Cricetulus griseus: one gene and its partners. The protein of the gene in region 6 purifies or fractionates together with the protein of the main gene of each other region. This does not show direct contact. Links are inferred from orthologs where the notes say so. Each region holds a gene or a part of one and is shown on either strand. Other genes may lie near its edges. The genes, in order: Akap5, Akap7, Akap11, Vapa, Palm2akap2, Prkaca and Cdc37.

Region 1 (4,664 bases), on a different chromosome or scaffold from region 6:
TTGTTTCTAACGTCTCATCAGATAGGTCCACACGGAGATGGGTATATACAGGTCTTCTGGGCAGAAGGAAGACGGGGAGAGAAGAAAAAGCACTCCCCTGTTTCCACGCTTACACACTTGTTAACTACTCGCCCGGCTGAAGAAACCTGTGAATGGCTTTGTAAGGAACCCGTGAGGGACAAAACACCAGCCCACCTGACTCACCATTAGAAATAACAGGAAAACATACTGTAAAAGAAAAGCAAAGGCAGTGTTCGCCTATATACAGGGTCGAACCATCAGGAAAGACCCAGACTTCACGACATTAGGGAACAGCAAGGAGCACACAGCACACCAAGTGTTCAATAAGTAGTCTTTCTCAACACACTGAACTCATCGTAGGTCATTCTGCACCTTCCTGCATGTCACTGCACCTTGTGATCTATGCTGACTCCCTCCAGTCCAGAAGTGACTGTGTTTCAATGAGTTTTATAAACTTCATTTTTTCTTGAGCACTTCTGGGCTGGAACTTCCCCTCTAAATTCCACAGATGACAAGCCTTTAATTTATTACTGAGAAAGAAGTGCCACAAATGTATAAAAGAACTCATCTTTGAGTTGTTTTCTTCCTTTCCCATGATCTGGAAATGAAGTCACTGTAACAGAGTATTTATTTTATTATCCTCAGACACCATTTCATTAACCAGCTGTTCTACAGACAACTGGATAGCATTGTTGACGAGAGAAGAGGCTGTTTCTATTAAGAGTGTCTCATATTGTTCTGAAGTTCTCCCTTCGAAATCACTATCATTAGCAAAAACCCCTACTTGCTCATTTTCCATTGAAATTAGGAATTGCTTGGGGACATTTTTAGATTTCTTAACATCAAATTCACTGATTTCAGTGTCAGTGATGATAATAGCAATTGGCTCCATTCTTTTGCTTTCTTCTGATCTGGGTTTCTCTGTATCGATTCCATTTTCTTTCAGATCTGGTGCCTGGCTCAGTGCAGCTTCCTCTGTCTGGCTCAGTTTACCTTCCACTACCTGGGCCACGGCGTCTTCCTTTGCCTGGGCCACGGCGTCTTCCTTTGCCTGGGCCACTGCAGTTTCCTCTGCCTGGGCCACGGTGGCTTCCTCTGCTTGGGCCAAGGCAACTTCCTCTGCCTGAGCCACTGAAGCTTCCTCTGTCTGGCTCAGTTTACCTTCCACTGCCTGGGCCACTGCAGTTTCCTCTGCCTGGGCCACAGTGGCTTCCTCTGCTTGGGCCAAGGCAACTTCCTCTGCCTGAGCCACTGAAGCTTCCTCTGCCTGGCTCAGTTTACCTTCCTCTGTCTGGGCCACAGTGGCCACAGCAGCTTCCTCTGCTTGGCTCAGTTTACCTTCCTCTGCCTGGGCCATGGTGGCTTCCTCTGCTTGGGCCAAGGCAACTTCCTCTGCCTGAGCCACTGAAGCTTCCTCTACCTGGGCCACGATGGCCACGGCAGCTTCCTCTGCCTGGCTCAGTTTACCTTTCTCTGTCTGGGCCATGGTGGCTTCCTCTGCTCGACTCAGTTTACCTTCCTCTGTCTGGGCCACGATGGCTTCCTCTGCTCGGGCCAAGGCAACTTCCTCTGCCTGAGCCACTGAAGCTTCCTCTGCCTGGCTCAGTTTACCTTCTTCTGTCTGGGCCATGGCAGCCATGGTACCTTCCTCTGCCTGGGCCATTGCACTCTTGTCTGCCTGGCTGACAGCAGCTTTTTCTGTCTGGCTCAATGTAGTTTCTTTGGCCTGGCCCAGCACAATTTCTCCGGATTTCTTTTCTTCAGCTGTACTCTTTCCACTTCTGTCATCTTTTCTACTTGGTGCACTTTCTTGAATGCCATCCCTGGGTTCTTCCACACTGCGTTGATAGGTGGTTGCTGGTGAGGCAGGAACATCAGAAGCCACTGGACGGGGGCTGTCTGTTTCTGAACTCCCGAGTGGACTTGCTTGCTGCGCTTGTACGCTTGGCTTTTCCTTAATCCCTTTAGTTTCCTTCTCCAGCACTGGAGTTCCCATCTGAATAGCAGAAGCCTCCTTTTCTAATTCCAGTTCTACAGAAATCACATTCTCTCTAGATGTGATGCTGTTGCTGACATGCGATTCTTGGGCCTCCTTACTGTCCACCAACCCACCTTCCTGTGGGCCCTGTATGGACTTAGCTTGGTCAGTTGACTGAGTCTGGGTTTTTGTCTCCAAATCCTCAGCCCCTCCTTGGACTCTGAGGTTGTAGTCTGAATCGTCTGTGAGTTTAGAATGATGACCTCTCTTTGCCCCTCTTGAGAATCTTATGCAAGGAATCTTGAGTCTGGATTTTGCCTTTTTCTTAGGAAGAGCCGAGTCCTCGGGCTGTACTTCAGCCTCAGATGGCTTCTGCTTCTCCGAAGACCCTGACCTTTTCCTGTGTGTGACAAGGCGTTTGATGGAGGCCCAGGCCCCTGCTGGCTGTGGCTGATCAGAAGCCCCAGCTTCTGGGGGATGCTTTTTTGTGGCCTCAGCAGTTTTGGAACCAGATTTAGGTTTCATCTTGTTTGCTTTCTTCCTTCTCTTGAAGCAAAGAGTGGCTGTTTTTCTCTGCTGCCTCTCTTCCTGAGGACTAACAGCTACTGGCCCCTTCTCATCCTTAGTTTCTATCTGAATCTCAGAAACTTTGGTCTCCATTTTTACACTACACTCTTTCATTCTCTGGGAAGTGTCTTCTCTCTTCCTCTTGAAGCCTTTTGTGACAAAAATATCACACCAAGTCCAATTTCTCCTGGGTGCCTGCCCTGCTTTCACTCCACAGTTGTTTCTATAGCTTTTTCAGGACATAACTGCCTTGTTTATCTGTTGCTTATGATTCTTCCTTTATTTTCCCCTTCGAATGAAAGCTCTTTCCTGGATAAAATTCGCCTTTATTCAAAGATCAACCTGATAAGAGAAAAAAGTGGGGTTATATTTCACCACGAGCCTATTATTTTTAATATAACTTACGTTATATGGGGCATATGCCCTGTGGTACATACCAAAACAACCATGGCTTCAAATTGAGGCTTGCTTTTGCCCTATCAAAAAAGCTTCCTGTGTGAACCCATTTTGTTCTATTATTTTTGTTAAAACTTTGTTTGTGGTCACTCTGCAAGAGTGCCCTGGTCCTTAGTTGACTTCTCCATGAATTTTATAGCCCCACATAAAAAGTTTAACAAGCAACAACAACAAAACAACAGACTGCAAGTGATAGGGCAGCGGGACTCCTTTCTCATCACCTTCAGTGAAGAACTATGGCATTGCTAAGGACCTGGGAGATGACTCAAGATTAATCAAGTCCAGCCCAATGACGAAATTGAGCTCCCCAGTGGGTAATGGGCTTGCAGAAAGCCTTAGGCTAGATGAGGTCCTAGCCAGAGTCAGAAGTACAAATTTTGACTCTCTGGTGTTCTTTCTATTGTAGCATACGGTTTCCGTTCTAAAATTGTACATTCCATCAAGGAGGTGCTACTTTCCATACAGACTCTCAGAAAAACCCAGCATTGCTCAGACTGTCGTTCTTCCATCTTAAAGTTGTTGTGTAACTTTGACATTTTCACCGAAGTGTCTGCTACTCACACTTTCCCACTATAACTGCACACAGCTGGAGGTTAGTGAGGTAATAGCCAACACTGGTTGTGCAACTCCTGGGTATGAGGCGGCGCTAAGCACTTTCTCATGCATCTCTAACCTGCACCACAGTATCCCAGAGTGAGGAGGTGGTGAGATCTCCATCTGCAGTTAAGCAGCCTGCCTAAGATTAAAGCTAGTCAGCCTTAGTGCTCAGGTTTAACCTGAGGTGCCTGCTTCTGAAGCCCACCTGCTTCTGAAGCTCGTGATCTGACTTCCATTTGAGGCTGGTTTTGGTGGTGCACCAGGCAACACCAGCATGTGGGAGGTGGAGGCAGGAGAACCAATCAAGGTCATCCACAGCCATATAGTGTATTTGAAGCCAGCACTGGTTACCTGAGACCCTGTCTCAAGAGAAAAGAATATGCAAAGCTAAGCTGTGGGTCTGGGTATATAGCTCAGGGATAGACCGTTGGCCTAGCCACAAGGTCTGAGATTTGATCCCCAGTACCACCAAAAAATAACGATCTACAGAATGGAATGGATTTTAGTTGGTAGACATCCTAAGTTAGGCAAATTATTCTGCTTGCATGGAAATTCTGTACTGTGCTTTCATTTGGGTGCATTCATATCAGCTTCTAATTCTCTGTAGGATTGGAACCCTGAAAAATCATTTTAAGATATAAGGAGTTTTTTTTTTTTTTTAAAGGTAGGTATTGCACGTTTCATGTTTCTACACAGAAACACAAAATTCTAGAATAATGACGGAACCCACACCATTTACAGTCTCTCCTCACACACCCTTTATAAGCACTAGAACCCAGTGTTAAGGTCCCCAAGCCTGAGTGAGCATTCCTTCTAAGCTATCGATAGAAGAAATATTCAAATGCAATCATATTCCGGAAAGTATCTGAAACTGACCTGAATGGCCCAGTGTTTGCACAAGAGGCTTCTTCGAATGTAGAAATCAACACCCCAACAAGTGTATCCGAGGCAGGGAAAGGATGCAGGCAGCAGGCGTTAAAACTTTGCAGACTGTTAAGACTGCAAATGATTCACCTTTACCTTCGAGAGGAGCTCGATCACCTTG
Region 2 (2,849 bases), on a different chromosome or scaffold from region 6:
TTGAAAAAGCTGTTACAAATAAACATCACATGGGGAGAAACATTTTAAGTATGCTCTTTTAAAAATGAACCAGGGGCTGGAGAGATGGCTCAGCCGTTAAAGGTTAGGCTCACAACCAAAAAATACAAAAGTGAACCAGTGCAAACTATACAAATGGGGAAGAACACAGTGCAGCTTGGGGCTCATCTTCAGAAAAGCAGAAAATAAAAACACTGAACATTTGTTCCCTAAAAAATGAAAAAGCAAACTACATTTTCATCAGTGAAAAATAATACATGTGGATATCATAAACATTCTTAACCAGTGACTGCAATGATTACATTTATAAGTGTTCATTCAAGTACGGATACTCAATAAGCATTCAAATTCTCATCAAATGTAACATAACGTGAGACTGGACGAGCCTGGCCAATGCTAGTAAGAAAGGGTCATATCAACAGGAGGCAGGCGGCCCTTAGAATACTGTTGTTGGTTTTGTCTTGTTGTATTTTTGTCTACAAAGGATTTTTCATAATCAACGTTCTTTGCTTTTTGTTTTTTATCTGCAAGGACCCATGGAACATCTCACAACAGCTAACTAAGAAGTTATATCTATAAAATGAGTCAACACCCAAACAAACATTCTAAAACTCAACTTTAGCTGATGATGATGATAAGGCAAAAATATGTTTTCTTTGGCAAGAAGTTGTTGATTCCTTACCAAATGTTGGTTTGTGGGCTTTGTAGAAACTGTAAGAACACTTTGGTTATTTACCAAAGGGCTATGTGCTGGACTGAGAGTTCATAAGGTTTTTACCATCATAAGCAGTGAAGAGCTACAGCAAAGTCACACTGAAGTCAGCATCATCGTGTGATTACCATCATTAAGAACTCTTCCTTCGAAAAGCTCCTTCCTAATCATGGCCTGAGTCTCAGGCTTTAGCAAAAGTTCCTTTATCTGTTTCACTTTGGACTTCAGCTCCATCCTTTCTCGGTGCAAAGCTTCATTAATTAAGTCTTGGATCCCAACTGGTTTCTTGCCTAAGGGGAAAAAATTATATAATACATTTAAAGTTCAAATATCAATGAAATACATCAAATATGGCACACTGACTTATCAAAATAAGGCTGAAAAACCTTTAAAATGTTACCCACATTTCATAGAAAAGATTGCGTTTTGCCAAAAATATATAATTTACATGAAACTTAATTTACTGCAAATAAAGATTATGGTAAGAGTACAGTGGGGACAAATGTGAAACATTGTGGACTCACTACACACATGATCATTTCAACAGTGACAAACTGAACTCAGTACTTGATAGCTGTGTGCAAGTTTTGGCCTCAGATAAAGTAGTCAGATGCTCTAAGCAATGTAAACGGCAGTATTCCTTCGGCGGCGAGTCCAGTCCCTCGGCCCGCGTGCCTTCCGGAGGTGCCCCCTCGCCCTTGTGCATGCTTGATGGTACATGAACTCGGGACTGTTCTTCTGTAGACTAATTTCTTCTGCTGGCCCCAGCACCCCACTCTCTTCTGTTGTGTCGCAGCCACGCCGACACATCAATCATCGATGTGGTAGGCGATCTCCGGGGCTCGAACAAGACCCTTAAATAGCACATTGCAAGTCAGGCTGCGACTTCGCAGAGGGGCCGGGATGCTTTTCACAGAGCAGCTGGAATAGGCTCCACTCTCACTTCCTGTTGTTATCACTGCCTTTGCCATTCTGATTGGCCTCTTCAGCTTTGCTGGAGTTCCCCTCCCCCGGCTGCTTTTTGTTCTGCGTTTCTTCCAAATACTGCTGGACAGCCTTGAGCACGGCGTTCTCCACCAGCCTCTTACTGAGCCTGACCAGTTCAGCATCCTCAGGCTCCCCTCGGTCCTTCTCACCTACATTCCACAAGAGAAGAGAGGTCACTGAGCTCATATTGCCATAGCAACGAGGCCACCAGGCCCAGCTAGTTCAGCTAGTTAAAAGAGCAAGTGTCCTTCACTCTGCCAAATGGGATCTATAAATCCAACGAGAGTGGGTTGCCTTTTCTTATGACATTTGTCCAAGCATGAGCCTGTCTGTTGCTGAAGACAGTCCATTAGACATGCCCTGGCCCGAAATGCTGTGGCCTACCCATTTCCATAGGGCTTTTGTGTTCCTCTACTGCTTGTGCCTACCACCTGAGGTCCCAGGCACATGAATTCACCAAGGAGATCTGATCTGCTGTTCCCTCTCCAATGCTAATTACCAGGGAATCAAGAGTCCCTTGTCATCTCATGACTTGTGATCATTCATTTTAAGATGCTTGGCATAGATACCGGTTTTCTCCAGCACTCACATCAAGGCAAATGCAGTAACCAATGCCAGCAGCAGCAGTTTAAAACAGGACTGCAAGGCCAGCGTTCTGTGTTTAAAAATCTCCTGATGGTAACTTCCTAGATGTGACTGTTTTATGATCCTTCTGCTCTCCTGCTGGTGATGATCCAGGTGTATGTAAAGTATTCACATTACTCTTTTGAAAAAGAGCTACTTCTCCCATGTTCTCATGCTATACATCCCACCCTGCCACTCTCCAAATTGGGGAAAAGTAAAGGGCATCTTCCACTAAGTCCACTCAGCACACTCCCTCCCTCCAATGATGTAGGTTGGAAATCAGATGGATGGTGCTGAAGAAGCCATCACACTGCACACAGTAAGATGAGCTCATTGTGGGACAATCACCCAAGGGCTCATGATGACAAAGCCAGTGCTACATCTGCATGTTCGGGTCTGGGACAGGAGGAAAACAGTGAGTGTAAGCAGGAAGAGAGATACTGTTTTCTATCCTCATCTATAACAGGGCTTGGAGCACAAAAGATGTGCCAGAGGTAATTGCTGGTCC
Region 3 (4,003 bases), on a different chromosome or scaffold from region 6:
GAACCATCCCCTCAAAAAGAATTAAAATAAATTCAAACAAAAAGGCACACTGGAATAATAAAAATAATGTTAGAAGTATGAGCAGATTGCCAGGTTGAGCATTTCAAATAATAATGTAATAATAATAATAATAATAATAATAATAATAATATAAATGAAATCCTTTATAACATAATTAATTATAAAATCAGAGTTACCTTTCACTGAGATGATGAAAACTGCTGCTTTCATCTTGATGGTCATCCTCAAAACTTAAGTTGGACCAGCTACCAGTACTGTCCTCACCAACACTCAGATTCAGCTGCTGGCTGCCAAGTGATTCAGTTGACTGAAAATCTTCTATTTCTTTTGGACTAAGAAAATAGCACATGGTGGTAATTTTAAAAATAATTGAAGCATCACAGGAAATAAAATGATCCCATGAACACTTCACTGTATCTGCAAATAATGAGACTGAAGAACAGCACAGCAAGAACCACATCTGCTACGTGGAGATGTCCTTATGTATTGTTTATCTACACTCTATCTAAAGAAAGCATGCCTTCCTACAAGGTCTACACATCAGTGGCCCTGTAAAAATATAGCACCTTTATTTGCATCTGAAGGAGCCTCCTTCTGGCAGTTTGAAATTCTAGTGGTGTCAACCAAACCTACATTCAAACTAGACAAATCTCTTCAAACATGAATCAGAAACATCTTTCTTAGCAGGAAATGATGGCACAGGCCTTTAATCCCAGCACTTGGGAAGTAGAGACAACGGATCTCTGTGAGTTCAAGGCCAGCCTGGTCTACATAGTTCTAAGAGAGCCCAGGCTTATCCTTAAAAAAAAAATAATTCTTGTATTTCTTTGGTTGTGAGCCTTGCCTTTAACAGCCAAGCCATCCCTCCAGCCCAATTCTTTTATTATTTTTTAATGAAGGGACATTTATATCTTTATGACACAGTCAAAAAATAAAGCTCATTTAAAGCAACTATACTACTTGGCCCATCTGTATGTATGTATAAGTATACATGTACATACATATACATACATGTACACTATTTCAACATATTTCTAAACAGTGATGCTCTAAGCATGAAGAGAAAAAACTATCAGTTTTTGGATCAAAGCCTTCCTTTGGCTTCAAAGCAATCATGATGTATAGGCCCCTCATATTGCCCACTTTCTCACCTACACTCCCCAAGTCACTCAACAGCAACACAAGCTCTCTGTGTCACACACATGCATTCCCACCCCTCTGCCTGGATCCCAGCACCTCCAGATTCCCAATCATTTATTCTATCTTCACTTTTGGTTCTTGGCTTAAGTGTTACTCCATTAGTTTTGTTTCTCTGCTATCCAATTCAAAAATGCAAGCCAGCCCCAACAGTTCTTGCTCACCTCTGCTAACAATACTCCCTTTTTTAAAATTATTTCTTTTAAATTATAATTACATCACTCTCCTCTTCCCCTTTTCTCCCTCTAACCCCTCCCATATAACCCCCCTTGTTCTCTTTAAAATTCATGACCATTTTTTTCATTTATTGTTGTCACATACATATGTATATGGAAAGACATATATATTCCTAAATACAGAAATTCAGCCTGCTTAGGCTTACATACTATTGCTGTATATTTCAGGGATGACATTTAGTACTGGACAAGCACTTGGTGTGCTCTTCCCTAGGAAGCCTGTGTCCCCCACTCCCAGAGTTCACGCAGTTGTCTGTGTAGGGCTGAGGTCTCATAGGCTTTTGTGTGTCCACATTAGCATGTCCCCTGTTGTCCTGTTCAGCTCATGTATCTGCTGTTTGTCTTATTCTACTATAATATTAAGCTCTTGGAGAACACACATTTTTTTTTTTTTTTGCCTGTTTCCATTTCTTTTATATCCCTAAAACCTAAAATCAGCCCTGAGCTGCCCCTGCCCTCCCCACTTTTTAGGCAATTCTCACTTTTTATTTAAGACATAACAACTCAGTTAAACTCGATATTCCAAACATAGTCATCCTATGCCACAACTTTATTTTTATTTAACATTTACCTACCAATTCTTTTTCTTTCTTTTTTTTTTTTTTTTTAAAGAAAATGGTCCACAGGAGGGGGTTAAAAGGAGGGTTTGTAATGATTGCTAGGTAACTGGGCTCACAGTAATTGAAAATAAAGTCTAGATATATTATGTTCTAAAACTCCTCTACAGTATGCTTTCCTATTTGATATTCATATAGCACCCGGGTGAGCATTATGGGTTTGTTACATTCTACTATATATTCTACTAGTATGATTACTTGCATTAATCATACATTTATGAGAAAAGCGACATTAGTGAAACCATTCAGTTAATATCTTAGCAAATAATCTATTTGAGTCAATCATTCTTCAACCTTAAATCATGTTAACTTTACAAAATGTGAAGCAGAACTCCATATAACTGCATGGACTTTGAACTGTACTTAGGGAAGACTGGCACAAATGCTATAAGAGACACAGGAACAGAAGTACAAAGGAAGAGTCTGTGAAAAAATCAGCCTGGATAAACCACAAACTTACAGGAAGAACTCAAGGCTTATTATCGACCAGGTCTAAAGAAGAAAATGAATATTCTGAAGAATGAATAGCAAAGTTATTTGCTAGGTCCTAGACTGTGGGCTTAGGAACTTCCACCTAGGCTCCTCTGAAGATGTTATCATAGGGGAGAAAGAATAAAAATAGTCCAAGACTACATATACAAAGCTGCTTCAACCACAGAACAGACTTTAATCTCAGAGTAGTCAATATTACTAGTTTAAAATCTGTGAATAAAGTTCACCAGTTTCTTTAATTTTACCTGTGTCTTAGTTCTGTGAAATTGAGGTCACTGTTCTCTAACTCTCATCTTCCAGCCCTGTAAATGGATGATAATGTCCCTCAAAAGGGATTGGGAAACAAATATTTCATGTGAAAACCATGCACAGGATATGAAGCCATACACACAAAAAAAGTTAACTTTTCATTTTCATTTCACAAGATCCCAAAGAGAATTTGAAACGTACCTGCTAACAACATGCTCAGCATTTGTCACAGCTGATGTCATGATTTCTGTGGTAAGGCTCTCAGCAAAGCTAATGCCATCTTGTCCAATTCCACTATCGGCTGCCAGACTGGTATTGCTCAGCTCTCTCTCTGCTTTTTCAATAGCTTCAGCAACTATTTTCTCTGCAAGCACTGCCCTTTTATCAAGATTAACATGAATTTGAGGCACATCAAGATGAAAAATTCTCGATTTCTGGTGGATACTACCAAGTTTTGGATGTGAACCTGGCTTAGCACTAGCACATACACTCTGTTTTAAAGGGGGCTGGGAGGGACTTCTGGCACAACCATGGCGTTCCTTAAGGTCACAGTATCTACAAGTTCCATTCATGAGTGGTGACAATTTTTCGGCATAAGTGATTCTATCTGCTGATGCTGTGGTCTCTGGAATGTGGAAAACTGTAGGTCCTAAACTTAGCTCTAAAGTGTCATCCACTACTTTACTAGCATACTGTTCTAAAGCTTGAGCATTCTCTCCACGACTATGTCCACTTAAGGTGCCTGTATTCTGGCAGAATCCATGGTTTTGTAAAGGCTGATGAGACTTTGAAAATTCTGGTTCAATAATACCCTCACCCTTGTCAATACATCCAGATTTTTCACGAAGACAAGAATCTGTTGAGGGCTGTGGCAAGTCAACTGTAGGTGCTGTCAGCTGTTTCTTAACATCTCTTGTTATGATGCTAGCAAGAGAGGCTGAAAAGCTGTGCAGTTCAGAGAGTTCATTTCCACATGGATCCCGTGTCCTTTCACAAGGTTGGTAGTTACAAAGATGGCTGCCATTTCTTCTTCTTTGTCTTTTATCTACTTCCTGACAATGCTCTTTATTTGAGGTCAACAGTTCCTTGCTTATTTTCACATCAGAGCTGTGCAAAGGGAACATTTTTGAACTGCACTTCCTTTTTACTGTCTTAGCTGCTTCTTGCACTCCAGACTTGACAGATCGATAG
Region 4 (4,003 bases), on a different chromosome or scaffold from region 6:
AAGGGAAAGGCAACTGCTGCCGACACTGACAACCTGAGTCCAACCCTAGGAACCCATATGCTAGACTGAAAGAACCAACGCCACCAAGCTGCCCTCGGACCCTCACATGCCCCCTCACACACCCAATAAAACAAATAAAACTATCATGAAAAGAATGGGCAATGTCATTAGCAATACACATTTCTAAATGGTATCTAAGAAAACAGTATTTCAAGACTTTTCCATTCTTTAAATTTTGTTCCAAACAGACTTACAGGTATTTAATTTTTGGCAAGGAAATCAGGATTGTTCAGAGCTAAACAAACCCAAAGTTTAAATCTCCATATCCAAATAATTTATGTACTTCTACACTTACTTACCACAGCTTCCATATCTGAAATATTTGGTGGAGCAAAAATTGTCTGTACCATGAACTTATGTTTACTCTTTTCATTTGGATCATAATCAAATGGCTGTAGCATTACTAAAGAAAAAGAAAAGACACATTATCTTTGACATTTTATCTCCTACTACCCAGTAACACATAAATTTAAGGAAAATAAAGATAGGTTCAAACACTCAAATATACCATTTGTACTCAAGATACACAACCAACTTTGTAACTTTCAATTATTAAGTTCACTTTTGTGATATTTTAATATAGACACTGAGGCACTGTTCTAGTGTAACTCATTTTTCTTTTTTCTTTTCTTTCTTTCTTTTTTTTTTTTTTTTTTTTTTTTTTTTTTTGGTTTTTCGAGACAGGGTTTCTCTGTGTAGCTTTGGAGCCTATCCTGGCACTCGCTCTGGAGACAAGGCTGGCCTCGAACTCACAGAGATCCGCCTGCCTCTGCCTCCCGAGTGCTGGGATTAAAGGCGTGCACCACCAACACCCGGCTGTAACTCATTTTTCTAAACTGGATTTTAAACAATTATTCAGAGTGTATTCATTTGTTTAGATTTAATTTGAAGAAAACAAAGGAAATCATAATTTAATGTTTAGACTTTATTCCCCCATATCATTCATGTTTTATGTCTTTATATCTGACTAGCCTACAGAAGTTTCGAGGCTCTGAGTTCAATCTGCATGTTAAACCTATGTGATACAAATCCAAGACAGATAATAAACAATAAATTAGTTATTACTAAGACTGCATATGGCGTCTTTGCAGCAGTTGGATTCTATTTCTAAATATTCCCAATGGGCCTTATATAATTTGAGACCTTAAAATTTTCAGAGTATTATCAGGAATCACTGGGATTTTAATACATTCATTTCTCTGCCATGCTCCCCAAACTGATCCCCATGATCTGACATGACAAATAGATTCTCTCTCCATGTGTTTTCCTGCTCCCTTTGTAATTAACAAAAGCAGGAGTTGAGAACTATTGCTTTTTTAAAAAGAAAAAGAGTTACTGTTTTTTCAAAGATAAACTAGTAAGAACACAGAATATGGTGGTGAGCTATAGAAGATATGATGTTCCAAATTGACAATAATTAATCACACACCTACATACAAAACAAGAGGGATAAAGCTTCAATAAATGTTTGTAATGGCAAGATACCCAATGAAAGCCTTTAAACAAAAACTGAAGCCAAATATAAACAGATGAAAACACTATTAAATAAAAGTCATGAAATGTCAATATTCAAAACTGCAAAAGTCTAGCAGCTACCTGAAACAGTCACAGTTGACCCTGGGTCAATAATTCCACTGTTGGGCCTCACACAGTACCGGCGAGGTGCTGTGGTCTTCACCTTAAAACACACTTTTCTATCCGATGGATTTCGCAATTTAAGATTTGTAGTGACTACATCTGTGAAGGGGCCTGTAAGGTTAAAAGAGACAGACAGACAATTAAAACTGGAGTCACATCAAAAGCAGAATTCAAGATTAAATTAATAAGAATTGTCTCTATCCATCTTTTGATAAATTCAACCATATGATTTTAGTTTTTTAATTCTGATTAAGTTTATGTGTTGTACATGCCACAGAGCTTTATGGCGATCAGAAGGCATTTGGGGATGGGTGCTCTCCTCCCATTAGGTGGGTACCAGAAACCGAACTTGGGCCCTCAGGCTTGGCAAAAAGCATCTCCATCCAGAGCCACCATGTTAACCGCATTCTATTCTTACAGTGTTCTTGCCACACAAGTGACAGAATTCCCCAGGGGTCTTCACATTCCCAAGGCCAACTGTAAAGTTTCTATGCCCAAACGCACTAAAAGCTGACAGTACTTAAGCTTTTCCCAATACCTGTTGAGTACTTATAAATACAACAATGTGTCAGACCCGCTATCTAGATACAAAGCTGTTGTCTTACAGCTGTGGTTCTGTACTCAACAAAAAGACAAGGACAGAACTCAAACATCGGATCCAGCTCTACTTAACCAGTACATCCTCATTGTTTTAAAGCAGGCTATGAGATGTGAAGATAGACCTATTTGCTTTTGTTTGAAAAACCAAGACTTTATACAATCTAGTTTACACAGCAAGAATTTCTTAAGAGAGAAGATTAAAAAAACACCTAAGAACATGTCAAATAGAAAACGATAAGCCTGTATCACTAATTACTCCAAAAATTTAAAAGGTCTTTTAAAAATCAATGTTATGCTTTTGTTTTTTCTTTGTCAAAGACAACTATGATAAAAGCCTATTTTTATGTGATCCTTGTTTCAGTTACTTACTGGTGTTTCGAGTATGTTTACATGGATTGAACATTAGCCTTCAGAGTGGCAGCAAGCCCTCTTAACCCTGGGTCACCACTGACCCTGTTTATTTAAATATTAAACATCATGCTGTTTTTAAAACTTTGGAATGTCATACTTTGAAATCCAGATTGAGAAAATTCTCCAGCCATGTCCAATAAAGTTTGATTGAATGTTGGGAAATTGTCTACGACAAAGGCTCCCAAGAAAAGCAAAATGAGTCACTATAGACTACAGTTGACACAAACAAACAGGTCTGCCTAATGCTTAACATGAAAAAGGAACTCCGTCACAAAGTGAGATGACTGAAAAAGAGGTAGGTCCAAGCTTTGAGAAGTCAAGTTTTATTCTCAAGTGCTTGTTTCATTCTAAGTTACTAGTGCATTCAGTAGACTATCTTATACCCTTTGTTGCTCCCCAATTGTTTATTTCTTTAAAAAGCAGATGATTTAACATCTCTACAATACAACTCACTAGAAATAAACATCTGAAAGGGATGAAGCAAGGCGTTCCCTCCTTGCTAGTCTCAATACCCACAAGTCATGGCGCAAGTCATGGCAGTAACTGTGAGCTTGAGTGTGGCAGGTGGGCTCTTTGGCTTGATCAGCCTGCATAGGATGTTAATAATAGATACATACTTTCAATCAACAAACTCCTAAAAACTTTATGTGCCTTTAATCCCAGCACTCAGGAGGCAGAGGCAGGTGGATCTCTTGTGAGTTCGAGGCCAGCCTGGTCCTCAGAGCAAGTGCCAGGATAGACTCCAAAGCTCCACAGAGAAACCCTGTCTCGAACCCCCCCCCCCAAAAAAAAGCAGAGATCAAATAATACATTAAAAGGACAAAGAATCTCCCCAAACAAAATGCTTAATTAGACATTTTCACCTTAGGAAAACAATGCCATAAATCCCATAAGAAGACACCTAAAGAGAGTAAACTGGGGGCTTTGTTCCACTGGCAAGCCTCAGGTTAAGTTCACCGCTGCTTCTTAGAAGGGACGGGTAAAGACTACTGATAACCATGAGCAAAATGGCCAAGCTTTATGGCTAACAAAGACTGCTGCTTGGTTCAAAGTAACATCTGGCCCACATTTTTAAGCCACAGAATTCTTTGAAAATCTGATGAAAGTTATAACCTACCCTGAAAGCATGCATGGACATCTATCCACCAACACTCAACACTAAATTCATAAAAGCTAAGACTATTATAGGAGCTGTTATGACCCCACTACCAGACAGACAGACAGACAGACACACACACACACACACACAGACACACACACAGACACACACACACACACACACACACAGAGACAC
Region 5 (4,003 bases), on a different chromosome or scaffold from region 6:
ATTCCCAGAAATTGAAGAAAGGAAGCCTTAAGAAGCCCAGGGAATGTGACAATCAGACCATGTGGAAATATTTATGATCTTTCTTTGTCTTTCAATGCTTTTCACATTGAAAAACCTTTGTCTGTCTATTTGATTTTTGTTGAGATGTGGTATCTCTGTGTAGCCCTGGCTATCCTGGAACTCACTCTGTAGAACAGGCTGGCCTTGAACTCACAGAGATCCACCTCATGTACCACCACTGCCCAATTTTTTTTTTTTTAAGAGTGGAGAAAACTATACATTGAGGTTACCCAAAACATCCTCTTACCCATGGGAATATGAAAACAAAATAAAAAGTAAAAAAAAGAAAAAAGCACAGATGTGAGACTAATCAGCTGGGCATGGGAAATGGACAGCTAATGCTTACAGCACCATCCTGGATTCAGTAGGGGTGTAATGACAGCCCCTATAGGTCAGAAAGACTGTTTTAAGAAATATGGTCACTGCAGAGAGACTTCTCAAAATGATCCACTTTTTGAAAATAGCTGAATTCAATCAGAAGATACCCATGAGAAAGAAAACAATATAAAAATTTACATTTTGGGAGAGCTTGGAAACAAGGCTTATGGGTTGGCGAGCACTACAGATGCTGAAAACAATGGTGGCCTGAGGTCCTTAGAAAGTCCTGTAGAAAGGGTTCATTGGGTAAGCCATAGAAAGAGAAAGCTGCTGACTGGCAGGTGATAGATGCGTCAGTCCCTACACTTTAGCTGGGCCAGGCGCTGGGTTCTTTGCTTTCCAGTCAACTTCGTATCCGTTTTAACAGAAGGAAAGTACAATACTGTAATTTGGAAGCGTATGTAAGGCAGCAAAGAAAACGTGTCACCCTAGAACAGCCAGGTTAAGATAGGTCCACTTTCGACTATGCTAGCAACCGGCTAGAGCTCACAGCATTTTGCTACACAAGATATATATAAAAAAAAAAACAAAGACCCACACAGCAAAAGAGGCAGGCGAGAAGCCAGGGGCATGGCAGTGTGTATGTTCTGTGTATGCGTGTCTATGTTAGAGGAACACACGCCAAAATGAAAACCCCCGGTGCCAACAACGGGTGTGAGTCCAGTCAAGTCAATTAAGGCTACTAGATAACCAGTTGCTATGAAGAGTCCACTCCAATCGAGCAGTACGGCACTGATTCACTCTTGAAGACACAAGGAAAGGTTTAGAGGAAAAAGTAAGTTCTTGGGGAGAAAAAAAAATGAAGCACACACATGCACGTTGTTTCCCAAGTGAGAAGGAAAGATGTGAGTGAGAGATCAAAGCAAATCCAACTGCGAGGCAAGGCAGGTGTTTGCTTCCAGTTCACAGTATCGCTGTTAGTGGTACAGTGAGGTCTATTTAAGAGGTGGAGAGTAGAGAGGCTGCCCGGAAGAAAGGGGAGGAGAAAGAAGTGGTCACATGACAACACAGCATTGACAGCGCTTTTTCTTTTGGGTACCTGGGGCCGGTTCTGTGGCCAGGCTCTCTTCCTTGCCTTCTGGGGATGAGGGTTCTGTGGTGTCTGACACGGGTCTCCCGGACACCAGCTCAGCTGCATTTCCATCGATCGTGGACACGTCCGTCACTGTCTTCTCTCTTAGCGACTTCTCATCGTCTTCATCGATTAGGACTAGTTCGGCCTTGATGGTTTCGTCATAGCCTAGCACCTTTTTAGTCTCCTCTTCATCTTCAATGTTTTGGTAGCCCATAAAAATCATGGTGACGGGTTGATCCAGGTTTGCCTCTGGCCCTTCCGTGCTGGAGGGCTGGGCCTGCTGCCCGGGGTTTCCCGAAGCGTGATCTTTCCTAGATTTTTGTACCATTTCTAACTTGGCTTCTTTGCAGAGCATGTGTTCCTTGGGATGGCCCAGGCTCCCATCTGCAACAACAGTCCTTTCAGACATGTGTCCCCTGAAGCTCGATTGTCCAGCCTTCTGAATTAGTTCTTCCACATCCTTTGCGCTTAATTTGTGGACTCCGTTTTCTACCACAGTGCCTCCTGAGTGCACCTCATACACTACTTTGGTACCATCATCATAGACTTTGACTCCTCTCTGATGGACCCCCTCTGGGCCAATGGTGGATGCAGAGAGAATCTTGGTCTCTCCTGTCTGTTTGTCTTTCTCCACATTAATTTCCATGGCGTATATAGCTTGAATGAAAACAAGAGAAAGGAAGTGCATGTTACAACAAAAAAAAGCCAGTGAATGGTTAATTGCCAAACAGACAGAAAAAAAAGTGGTCTGTGCCCTTTCTATTGTAACCATCAAGCATCCTGAGTGTTAGCATGTAGTGGGCAGTGTGGACAGAGGCGGTTGCGTGTGTTCTTCACACAGCAGCTTAATGCACTGGGAAGACAGATGCAAATAGTCACCACATCTTAATGGACCCAGACTTTTTAAGAGACCAGCTAAAATAAGAGACTTCGGATCTAACAGGGCAGAGTGATGGGAAGGCCAGAAACATGCAAGTGATCTTGACTGAGATCTGCCTAGGCTTATAGACAATGTCAAAGAGGCGCCTACCTTCCAGAAACTTAGTCATTTTTTCCAACTCTTTCATCAAATATGTGCCTATTTTTTTCCTCTACATTTTCTTGGGCCTGTTAATGGAGAAGGTGCCAAGTGTTTTGCAGGCAGGACGTAGCTGTCCTCCCCTACACTACAATTAGTTATTCTGCAGACACTGAAAGAATAGGAAAGCATACTCTGAGAGTAACCCAGTCATTGTCTGACCTCCAGCTGAAGCATAAAGTTACTGTATGACAACCCCAGGACAAACCCTTTGTAGGGAAGAAAGCATCTTTCAAATGCCTCAGCGACCACAGCAGCATATGGAATTCATATAGTCATTATAAAGGATTATTTTCATATCACATGTGAGGGAGAACAGCTGTGTCACTAAGCAAAAACAGAACCAGTGAGAGGACAGGTGGTCATGACATCTGTAACATAGGAACAGAGGATGGTGCCCTCAAAGGCCCTCTGTCCTCTCTCTCTCTCTCTCCCTCTGTTTTTCAACACAGGTTTTCTCTGTGTAACTCCGGTTGTCCTGGAACTCACTCTGTAGACCAGGCTGGCCTCAAACTACCTGCCTCTGCCCCCCTGAGTGCTGGGATTAAAGGCTCTCTCCACCAGCATTCTGTCCTCTCTTTTCCGAATAGTGTTAAGGCTCATGATTCTGTCCCATTGTATTTTCCCTCCCGTTGTCTTGTTTTTTGCTGTTCTGCTCCATGTTGTGATGGATGCTCACGGCCACGATACTCTTCTTTCCTTTTGCCTAGGCTAAGAAGAGTGTCACCCAAGGCACCAGACTCTCCAACCATCTCACATCCTGATGCTTATGTACCAGCTCTCCCCTGTCCTATAGCCTCTTGGGACACCCAACATTTGTGTCCATTCCCTCAGAGGCTCCCTGTGAAACACACGTTGTGGATGGAATGGGGTAGCAGGCCCACAGAGCCACCTGGCTGCAGGCACCCTTTACCTAGATGGTACCCAGATACGCTGGGCTCAGCAGCTTCAAAACCATTACAGCCTCTTCTCTCAACTCGTCCCTCATCTTGGTATGGTGACACTAGTACTACAGTTTCGATGCTTAGTCTGTAAGCCAGAAGCCTTGAATCATGTCTGATTCATCCCTTCTTTCTACTCTCCCACATCCAGTCACTGAGGGGATCTGCTTCAGGTTTTCCCATCCATCCCCTCATCATTATCTCTTTCCACAAGCCTCAGTCCAGACCCACTCAAGTCCCGAGGACTACACATATAGACGGGGCCAAAGGCAGGCCGGGGCCTGTTTTCTTTCATATGGCCAGGAGGAAGAATGGTTTCCTATACTTTTAAAAAGGTTGTATAAAAAGAAGGAAGTCATTTGGGAGATGGAGACAAGAGAATTTGGGATTCAAGGTCACTCTCCAATACACAGTGAGTTTGAGGCCAGCATGGGCTATCTGAGAACCTGTCTCAAAAAGAAAAAAGGAAAG
Region 6 (4,003 bases):
CTGAGCCACACCCCGACCCACCTTGCTGTGGATTCAGGGCAAGTGCTCTTTAGCTGAGCCATACACCCGTCTTTGATTTTTCTGAGTTTCACTGTTTAGCCCAGGCTATCCTGGAACTCTCTATGTGGCCCAGGCTGGCCTCAGGCTCCTGAGAGTTAGGACAGGGGTTGGTGACAGCACACTTAGGTGGGGAATGTGGAAGGCTGTTTTGGTTCCTTCAAGGACTGAGCTCCATACCCTGGCCTCACCTTCCCAGAGACGATTTTCTCGTAGATCTGGATAGGCTGGTCAGCGAAGAAGGGTGGGTAACCAGCAGCCATCTCGTAGATGAGGACTCCGAGAGCCCACCAGTCCACAGCCTTGTTGTAGCCCTAGAGCAAGATGGGGGGCCATTCGATGAAGCAAGAAGGTGAAGAGGAGATGATTCCTCAGGGGCAGGGTGGGCTAGTGAGGTGGAGCAGGCCTCAGGGGTGGGGCAGGCTGGTGAGGTGCCTACTTTGCTCAGGATAATCTCGGGGGCCAAGTACTCAGGGGTCCCACACAAGGTCCAAGTCCGGCCTTTCACACGCTTGGCAAAACCGAAGTCTGTCACCTGTAGGCACAAGAATAGGTAGTAGGTAGGAAGAAGGGCCGCAGGTGTCCATGTGCCCAGGAGCGCCCTCCCCCGGCCTCGGGCACCTGAATATAGCCCTGCTGGTCGATGAGAAGGTTCTCGGGCTTCAGGTCCCGGTAGATGAGGTCCAGGGAGTGCAGATACTCAAAGGTCAGGACGATCTGCGCCGCGTAGAAACGGGCATGGGGCTCGCTGGTGGGGACAAGCCAGGAGGGGATATGTGGGTGAACATGACCACAACCCCATGTGGTCTAGCAAGTGTGTCTGTGTGCCCACAGAGTAAGATACCCCATGTCTAGCTAATCAAAATGTAGATTCAAGGCTGGCCATGATGTCATGCACCAGTGGTCCCAGCTATATAGAAGGCTGAGGCCGGGGATTATGTCCCCAGGTTTCCAAAGACAGCCAGGGTAACATTCAGAGACCCAATCTCTAGTGCAAAAACTGGGGGGCCTGTCATGGTGGCACATATCTGTCACTATAACACTGAGAGGCAGAGGCAGAAGGACTGGCATATATCTAAGACCAACCACCATGAGTTCCAGGCTAGCCCAGTCTACTTAGTGAGACCTTGTGTCAAAAACAAAGCAAAACAGAAAGTCACACCTTCCCCTCATATTCTAAGCTGTACAATTCTATTCCAAACTCAGCTAAAACAAATTTGAGCTGGAAGGCTTAGAAGGGACAGGTGCTTTGCTGAGGAGCCAACCTATCCAAGAAAGCAGTTTAAAGGGATTTTGTCTGATAATCAGAGTTTTGGAAGAAAGTCACCAGGGTACATACAAGAATCAAAACAAAAACCACCCTGCCAGACATGATGGCATACACTTTGAATCCTAGCATTTCAGAGAACTATGAGTTCTAGGCCAGCCTGGTTGGTCTACATGGTAAGTTCTAGGCCAGCCAAAGTTACATAATGAGACCCTGTCTCAAACAAAACAAAACAAAAAAATAACCCCCAAAATACCTCACAGGGTCAACTACCAAAGACTACAGGTCTCATTTTTGTTTTGTTTTGTTAAGTCAAGCAAAACTAATGTTCACAAAACAAGGACAACTTTTAGAGAAACGCCAGGGGAGGTGAGCTGTGACTCTCAGCAGCTGCCCAAAGAAAAGTGAAGGAGAAGGGAAAGCCACTCTGGTTGAGTTACCAGCATGGAGGGCAGGCAGCCACATGACAGCAGACAGTCACATGGAAGGGAGGAGGACTTTAGAGAAAAAGGAAGCACAAGGTACCAGAAAAACTGTGCTCAGGGTCCGGCCAGCACCCTTGAGACAGACACAAAAATGAAAAGGGAAGGCTCTGCCTTTCTGACTCAGGCAGACCTCACCATGCGCAGGGAGACTTCGCTTTTGGATTCTGCTTTGAAGGTGTTTGCTTATATTTGAGACAGGGGCTGTTTATGCAGCCTAGGCTAGCCTCAAACTCCTGATCCTCCTGCCTCAGCACCCTCGGGGCTGGGACTAGAGGTGTGCACCACCATATTTGACAAGACGTTTGGATTTTAGTGTATACAAAATATATTTATATCTAGTTGTCAAGTAACACATATATTTGTATAAAATTTTAAACTACATAAAATTATCCATTAATTAAAAAAATTTTTTTTGCTAGGTGCAGTGGTGGCTTTCTGTGGTTCCTAGGAGAACTGAGTCAGCCTAGGATTTGAAGGCTAGCCTGAGCTACACAGTATGATCTCTCTCGCTCTCTTTTTTTTTCTTTTTGTGCTTAGCTATCTGAAACACCACAAATTGCTTAGCATAACAGGAACAAAACCCCACAGGGGCTGAGTGTGGTGACTACAGTCTATCACATCCAGCACTGAGAACCAGAGGTTCTTGAGCCAAAGACCAGCTTTGGCTATATAGCAACACCCTATCAATAAACAACACACACACACACACACAAACACACACACACACACACACACACACACACACACACACACACACACACACACGCACACTAAAAAACAAAACCCCACCAGAACTCAGAGACATCACTTTCCATTTCTAAGTAGACTGGACCCTCTATGTCCCTGGATGGTAGCCCTTGGGGTGGCAGGGATGGGGCTTGCTTACCTGAACCTTCCGATCCGCCGCAAGTGGGAGAACATCTCCCCACCAGGCACATACTCCATGACCATGTACAAGTTTGAGTTGTCCTGTGGGAGGCAAAGTGAGTCAAGGCCCTGTCTCCAGGCACTGGGCCCCAGCTGGAAACCTCAATGGCCTGCAATGGCAAGCAATGAAATCTTCCCAGTGGTCCATATTTCAAGCACCAGGAGCTGCATTTTCTCTGGGAGCAGGAAGAGGCAGTTACATCTCTCTTCCCACAAGGGGAGAAAGTGAGGACCTGGCCACAGGCCAGCCATAGTCCTGCAGTGGCTACTGTCTCAAGCTTCACCTTCACTATCTGCCAAACACGAAAGACGGAGACAGAATTTGCAGGACCCAAAACAAAAAAACGTGTGGGGCATGATAGCACACAGCTGGAGACTCTGCTGCTAGGGTGGGTGAGGACTTTGAGCCCAGCCTGGGTTGTAGAACAAGAAGAAAACATAAGTCTTGCTGAAAACAAAACAAGAAGTATTACAGGCTGCTGGAGAGGTAGTTCTGCTCTTCCAGGCTCACAACAAAAAGAACAAATGATTATTACAGGGCTGGGGATGCCGCTCAATTGTAGAATCCTTGGCTACCACATACAGAGCCTTGGGTTCTATGCCCAGCACCACAAGAAACAAAACAAAAACAGCAGGGAGTGATGACGCTCACGTGTGATCCCAGCACTCAGGGAGCAAAGGCAGGAGGATAGTGAGTTCTGAGCCAGCCTGGACTACACAGTGAGACCCTGTCTCAAAACAACAAAAATCATGTCGGGCATGGTGATACACACCTTTAATCCCAGTGCATGGGAGGCAGAGGCAGGCACATCTCCGAGTTCTAGGCCAACCAGGACTGTTACATAGGAAAACCCTGTCTTGAAAAAACAAAAACAAACAAACAAACAAACAACAACAAAAACTGGGGGCTGGAGAGATGGCTCAGAGGTTAAGAGCACTGCTTGCTCTAGCAGAGGTCCTGAGTTCAATTCCCAGCGACCACATGGTGGCTCACAACCATCTATAATGAGGCCTGGTGCCCTCTTCTGGCCTGCAGGCAGAACACTGTACACATAATAAATAAAAATAAATCTTAAAAAAAAAAAAAGAAAAAACAAAAGAACAATATCATGTATAGCTTCTGCTGGGGAACTTCTGGTTACTGCCTGTTCAAGAGGTGTTCCCACAGGTTCTTATGCAACTGCAAGAACTCTTATTTTATGATCTCACAACATGAGAGCTGTACTGAGTCCCATTTCACAGATCAGAAGAGCAAGGCTCAGTATGG
Region 7 (4,003 bases), on a different chromosome or scaffold from region 6:
TAGGGCTTGAACCAAGGGCATCCTGAATGCCAGGCAAATGTTTTTGTAGCCCCAGTCCTGACCAGCAAACTTTTTTTTTTTTTTTTTTTTTTTTTTTTAGACAGGGTTTCTCTGTGTAACAACCTTGGCTGTCCTGGAACTCACTTTGAAGACCAGATATCCACCTGCTTCTGCCTCCTCAGTGCTGGGATCAAAGCTGTGGGCCACCACCGCCTGGCACACCTCTCCTTTCTTAGAGAAGCCCAAGAGGGACACTAGTTTTGTTTTGTTATTTTGTGCTGCTGGGATGGAACCAGAGTCCCACACATACCAGGCAAGGACTCAACCACTGAGCTACACCCCATCTTCTTATTGCTATTTTGAGACAGGGTTTCACTGAGCTGCTCTGGCTCATCTTGAACTCATCCTGTCTAAGCTTGGCCTTGAACTTACAACACACTGCTCTTAGCCTCTTGAGATGACAGGTTAGCACCACCAGGCCCACCCAGAGGCCATTCCTTCCCGTCTGTTGCAGAACCTTGGGGACCATGTCTAGACACAGGCACCAGGGCCACATATGGGAACTCACAGTGGGATCCATCTTGCTGATGGCATCTTGCAGCATTTGCACGTCCTTCACATCAAAGCACTTCTGCAGTTCCTGGGGTACAGAGGGGTAGGGTGAGGACCTGGGCTAGTGGGTGTGGGGAGGTTGACAACATTCACAGATCACCCTCCTCCCTCCTGGGCTCTGGGGAGTCACACCTCAGGCAGGGACTCATAGACCTCCACGGGGTCCAGGCCACCAGGGCCCAGCCTCTTCTTGCGCTCCTCCTCCTCGTACTCCTTCATGGCCTTCTCTATGCGCAGCTTGGCACGGCCCCGCACACGCTCCTTAAAGGCCTCCAGTTCGTATTTGAAGCCCTCCATGTACTGTTGGTCGGCGGTCTGCAGAAGACGGTGGGCGCTATTCACTGGGCAGTTGACACCCAGGTCTTTAGGTGGTAAGGTCCCTGTCTGCAGCTTTTGGAAGCCTTCTGGGGCTCCCCAAGGCTTTTCCTGAACTTCCCACAGGCACCTCAAGGCTTGGCCTTGCTCTCTGTACTCAGTGCCCCTTGCTACTGTCTTGTGGGCCCATCTACTAATGGCCAACTGCCAGGCCCAGCTAAACAGCACAGGCCTGGTACTACACCTTCAGGTGTCTTCCAGCAAGGCCTTACAGGCACCTCAGTTCTGGATTGTTCCTGCCTGCCCCACTCTCAGGATCCCCGGCCTTTCAGAGGATCATATACCAGGAGCTCCAGCTCCAGGGATCTAACAGCCTCTTCTAGCCTCTGGAGACACTTGCTTGCACACAGACTCAGGCACACACACACCAACAATAAATAAATATGTAAAGTAAATTAAAAAAAAATCTTAAATAGTGTCAGCAAGGTGGTTCAGTGAGTGAAGTGTTTGCCACGCAAGGCCAACAGCATGTTTGATCACTAGAGCCCACACAAAGGTGGAAGGAGAGAATCAATTCCAAAGTTGTCCCCTGACCATGAGTCCACATACACACAAACCATACAAACATATATAACATACATACATGCATGCACACAATTTTAAAGATTAAAAAGAAATAAATAAGGCCATATTTGGCCACTGTAATCTCCGCACCACTCTGCGCCCTCCCAATAAAAGATCTAACCACAGGCCCCTAGTCTGTGTGTACACTGTGAGCTTTCTGGTGGTACAGGAGTCCATACCTTGATCTTGGTGAAGAACTGCCTGAAGCAGGCACGGGGATCGACCTTCAGACTCTTGGCCAGCTCCAGAATGAACTGCATCACCATGGTCTGGTGAGCTACCTGCTCCATCAGTGCACATTTCTGCCAGGACAAAGGTGGGGTGTCACCGAGAGGCAGTGTCTGGGAGTCTTTCTGAAGCTGGGCCAGGCTATACTCACCTCCTCCACTTCCAGGTCAATGCACCAGATAACCAGGTAGTTGGCGGTCTCCTCGCACACCAGGTGGACATTGTCTGACAGGTACTTCTGGCTGTCATCCCAGCGGTGGAGCATGCCTGCAGGGAAGGGTGTTGCAGAGGCTGTGGGAAGCCCTTTCCTGGCCTTGACTCCCAACTGCAGGCCCCGTGCAGGCACTTACCGAAATGCTTGATCTGTTTCTCGTACTTTTCAACGAAGGTCTTGTGTTTCTGCTCTCTTGCCTCCTCTGAGTCTTCCTCTGCCTTCTCAGGCTTGATATTGACTATGCTCTGTGACAGGGCGAGAGGGCAAGTGGGCTGGGGCAAGGCAGGGTTGCGCCTGGGGTGCGGGGGCCTTGGCCGCCGCGCCCATCCTGTCCACATCGGAGGCGGAGGCGTCGCTAAGTGCATCAAGGTGGCAGAGGCGTGGCCGCGGGCCTTCGGGCAGATCAGAGGGTATGGGTGGGCTTCATTGGTCTCTACCGGCCAATCCCACGATCAACCTGTCCCCCCCATAACTCTGCCGGCCTCTCCTTGTCAGAATGAGGAGACAGGTATGGACCCAGGGCCTTCATAGTTCACCGTCAGGTCCAGCCTCCACCACCAAAGCATGCGCATCCCACATCTGACCCTGCTCTGCAGCGCTCTCACCCACCCGCACCCCTGCAGTGCTCTGCTCTGCTCTGCTCTGCAGTGCTCCCGCCCGCCTGCGCCCACCTTGCTGAAGCCGTCCTTGCTGAGGGTGTCCACGTTCCAGGGCATGCTCTTCTCCTTCTTGCGCATGTCCTCCAGCTTCTGCTCCCAGCTTCGCTCCTCCTTGCGCAGCTGCTGTGCCTCAGCTCGCAGCCGCTCAAGCTCCACCTGGCCACCGCCTTCAGCCACTTCCAGCTCCCTCAGCTTGCGTTGGCATTCGGCTACCTTTCGCTTGCATTCACGGCAGCCCCGGTCCAGTTCGTCCTTCTCCTTCTGAAACTGCTCCATGCGCTCCACTCGGGCCTGTGGGCAAGGACAGCCAGCAGCTGGTCACTTGGTCCCTTGGGAGCCCGGCATGGTGGCACTCCCCTTTAGTCTCAGCACTTGGGAGGCACAGGCAGGTGGATCTTTGAGTTTGAGGCCAACCTGGTCTACAAAGAGTTCCAGGGTAGCCTAGGCTACACAGAGAAACCCCATCTCAAAATAAATAACAACAACAAAAGAAACAAGCCAGGCAGTGGTGGCGCACGCCTTTAGTCCCAGCACTGGGAGGCAGAGGCAGGCGGATCTCTGTGAGTTTGAGACCAGCCTGGTCTACAAGAGTTAGTTCCAGGACAGCCTCTAAAGCCACAGAGAAACCCTGTCTCGAAAAACAAAAACAACAAAAAACAAACAAACAAACAAACAAAAGAACAACTTAGTTCCTTGATCCCTGCCCAGCCACAGCCTTGGGGTTTCAATCCCTGCAACGGACATGACCCCAAGAGATGTGTACACCAAAGTCTAAGTCCTGCCCTCCCAACTTCCACCCTGCCTACCATGGAGGACTAGACATACTCTGGTTGGACAAACCCTGGGTCCTTGCTACAGTCCACATAGCTACGAGCTACTTGTTGGTGCCCCAATGCCACATTTTTACAGTTTTTCGTCTTACTAGCAACTGCTTCTCTGTGTAGCTGAGAACGAACCTGGGCCCCTGGTCCTCTACCTCCCCAGGACAGGAGCAAGGTAGAGCAACAGCAACTGGCCATGTGAGGGGAGTAGCTCAGCAGCAGTGGCCTTGTTCAGAATTTTAATTTTGAAAAAATAGGTTTAATCAATTTATTTATTTTTGTGTATATGCATGCTCACATGTATCGCAACAACACACAAAGAGGAAATGTGGGAGCCCACTGTGTGGGTGCCAGGGATGGAACTCAAGTTGTCGGGCTTGGTGGCAAGTGCCTTTACCCACTGAGCCACCTTGCTAGCCCTTGCTTACCATCTGAAGACATCTTAGGTTGCACCAGCACCATTAACAGAACCAAAGAAAAACCCAAATGCCCATGGTGGAGCACTCTTGTGACCAAGCACTCAGGGAGGT

What was found.
Region 1: the proteins of Prkaca (region 6) and Akap5 purify together in Homo sapiens (affinity purification with mass spectrometry; 6 studies listed by BioGRID and IntAct, with this or other methods). This does not show direct contact. The link is inferred for Cricetulus griseus from reciprocal best matches to the Homo sapiens genes PRKACA and AKAP5.
Region 2: the proteins of Prkaca (region 6) and Akap7 purify together in Homo sapiens (affinity purification with mass spectrometry; 4 studies listed by BioGRID and IntAct, with this or other methods). This does not show direct contact. The link is inferred for Cricetulus griseus from reciprocal best matches to the Homo sapiens genes PRKACA and AKAP7.
Region 3: the proteins of Prkaca (region 6) and Akap11 purify together in Homo sapiens (affinity purification with mass spectrometry; 5 studies listed by BioGRID and IntAct, with this or other methods). This does not show direct contact. The link is inferred for Cricetulus griseus from reciprocal best matches to the Homo sapiens genes PRKACA and AKAP11.
Region 4: the proteins of Prkaca (region 6) and Vapa purify together in Homo sapiens (affinity purification with mass spectrometry; 4 studies listed by BioGRID and IntAct, with this or other methods). This does not show direct contact. The link is inferred for Cricetulus griseus from reciprocal best matches to the Homo sapiens genes PRKACA and VAPA.
Region 5: the proteins of Prkaca (region 6) and Palm2akap2 purify together in Homo sapiens (affinity purification with mass spectrometry; 5 studies listed by BioGRID and IntAct, with this or other methods). This does not show direct contact. The link is inferred for Cricetulus griseus from reciprocal best matches to the Homo sapiens genes PRKACA and PALM2AKAP2.
Region 7: the proteins of Prkaca (region 6) and Cdc37 purify together in Homo sapiens (affinity purification with mass spectrometry; 3 studies listed by BioGRID, with this or other methods). This does not show direct contact. The link is inferred for Cricetulus griseus from reciprocal best matches to the Homo sapiens genes PRKACA and CDC37.

What each region holds. Positions count from the first base shown.
Region 1 is NC_048598.1:127,161,943-127,166,606, forward strand, and holds the start of Akap5 (A-kinase anchor protein 5), read right to left. Parts: upstream 2,886-4,664; 5' UTR 2,681-2,885; coding exon 632-2,680; 3' UTR 1-631. UniProt on the Homo sapiens protein: Multivalent scaffold protein that anchors the cAMP-dependent protein kinase/PKA to cytoskeletal and/or organelle-associated proteins, targeting the signal carried by cAMP to specific intracellular effectors.
Region 2 is NC_048595.1:244,336,608-244,339,456, forward strand, and holds the end of Akap7 (A-kinase anchoring protein 7), read right to left. Parts: intron 1,867-2,849; coding exon 1,670-1,866; 3' UTR 1,021-1,669; downstream 1-1,020. UniProt on the Homo sapiens protein: Probably targets cAMP-dependent protein kinase (PKA) to the cellular membrane or cytoskeletal structures.
Region 3 is NW_023276807.1:232,866,113-232,870,115, forward strand, and holds part of Akap11 (A-kinase anchor protein 11), read right to left. Parts: coding exon 3,014-4,003; intron 2,866-3,013; coding exon of another isoform or gene 2,853-2,865; exon of another isoform or gene 1,472-2,852; intron 354-1,471; coding exon 198-353; intron 1-197. UniProt on the Homo sapiens protein: Binds to type II regulatory subunits of protein kinase A and anchors/targets them.
Region 4 is NC_048595.1:454,549,995-454,553,997, forward strand, and holds part of Vapa (vesicle-associated membrane protein-associated protein A), read right to left. Parts: intron 1,810-4,003; coding exon 1,657-1,809; intron 464-1,656; coding exon 360-463; intron 1-359. UniProt on the Homo sapiens protein: Endoplasmic reticulum (ER)-anchored protein that mediates the formation of contact sites between the ER and endosomes via interaction with FFAT motif-containing proteins such as STARD3 or WDR44.
Region 5 is NC_048595.1:86,145,558-86,149,560, forward strand, and holds part of Palm2akap2 (A-kinase anchor protein 2), read right to left. Parts: intron 2,171-4,003; coding exon 1,478-2,170; intron 1-1,477. UniProt on the Homo sapiens protein: Binds to regulatory subunit (RII) of protein kinase A. May be involved in establishing polarity in signaling systems or in integrating PKA-RII isoforms with downstream effectors to capture, amplify and focus diffuse, trans-cellular signals carried by cAMP.
Region 6 is NC_048596.1:160,428,873-160,432,875, forward strand, and holds part of Prkaca (cAMP-dependent protein kinase catalytic subunit alpha), read right to left. Parts: intron 2,779-4,003; coding exon 2,696-2,778; intron 806-2,695; coding exon 679-805; intron 593-678; coding exon 497-592; intron 372-496; coding exon 249-371; intron 1-248.
Region 7 is NC_048597.1:133,999,621-134,003,623, forward strand, and holds part of Cdc37 (hsp90 co-chaperone Cdc37), read right to left. Parts: intron 2,944-4,003; coding exon 2,665-2,943; intron 2,386-2,664; coding exon 2,130-2,385; intron 2,047-2,129; coding exon 1,931-2,046; intron 1,854-1,930; coding exon 1,731-1,853; intron 928-1,730; coding exon 745-927; intron 641-744; coding exon 569-640; intron 1-568. UniProt on the Homo sapiens protein: Co-chaperone that binds to numerous kinases and promotes their interaction with the Hsp90 complex, resulting in stabilization and promotion of their activity. Inhibits HSP90AA1 ATPase activity.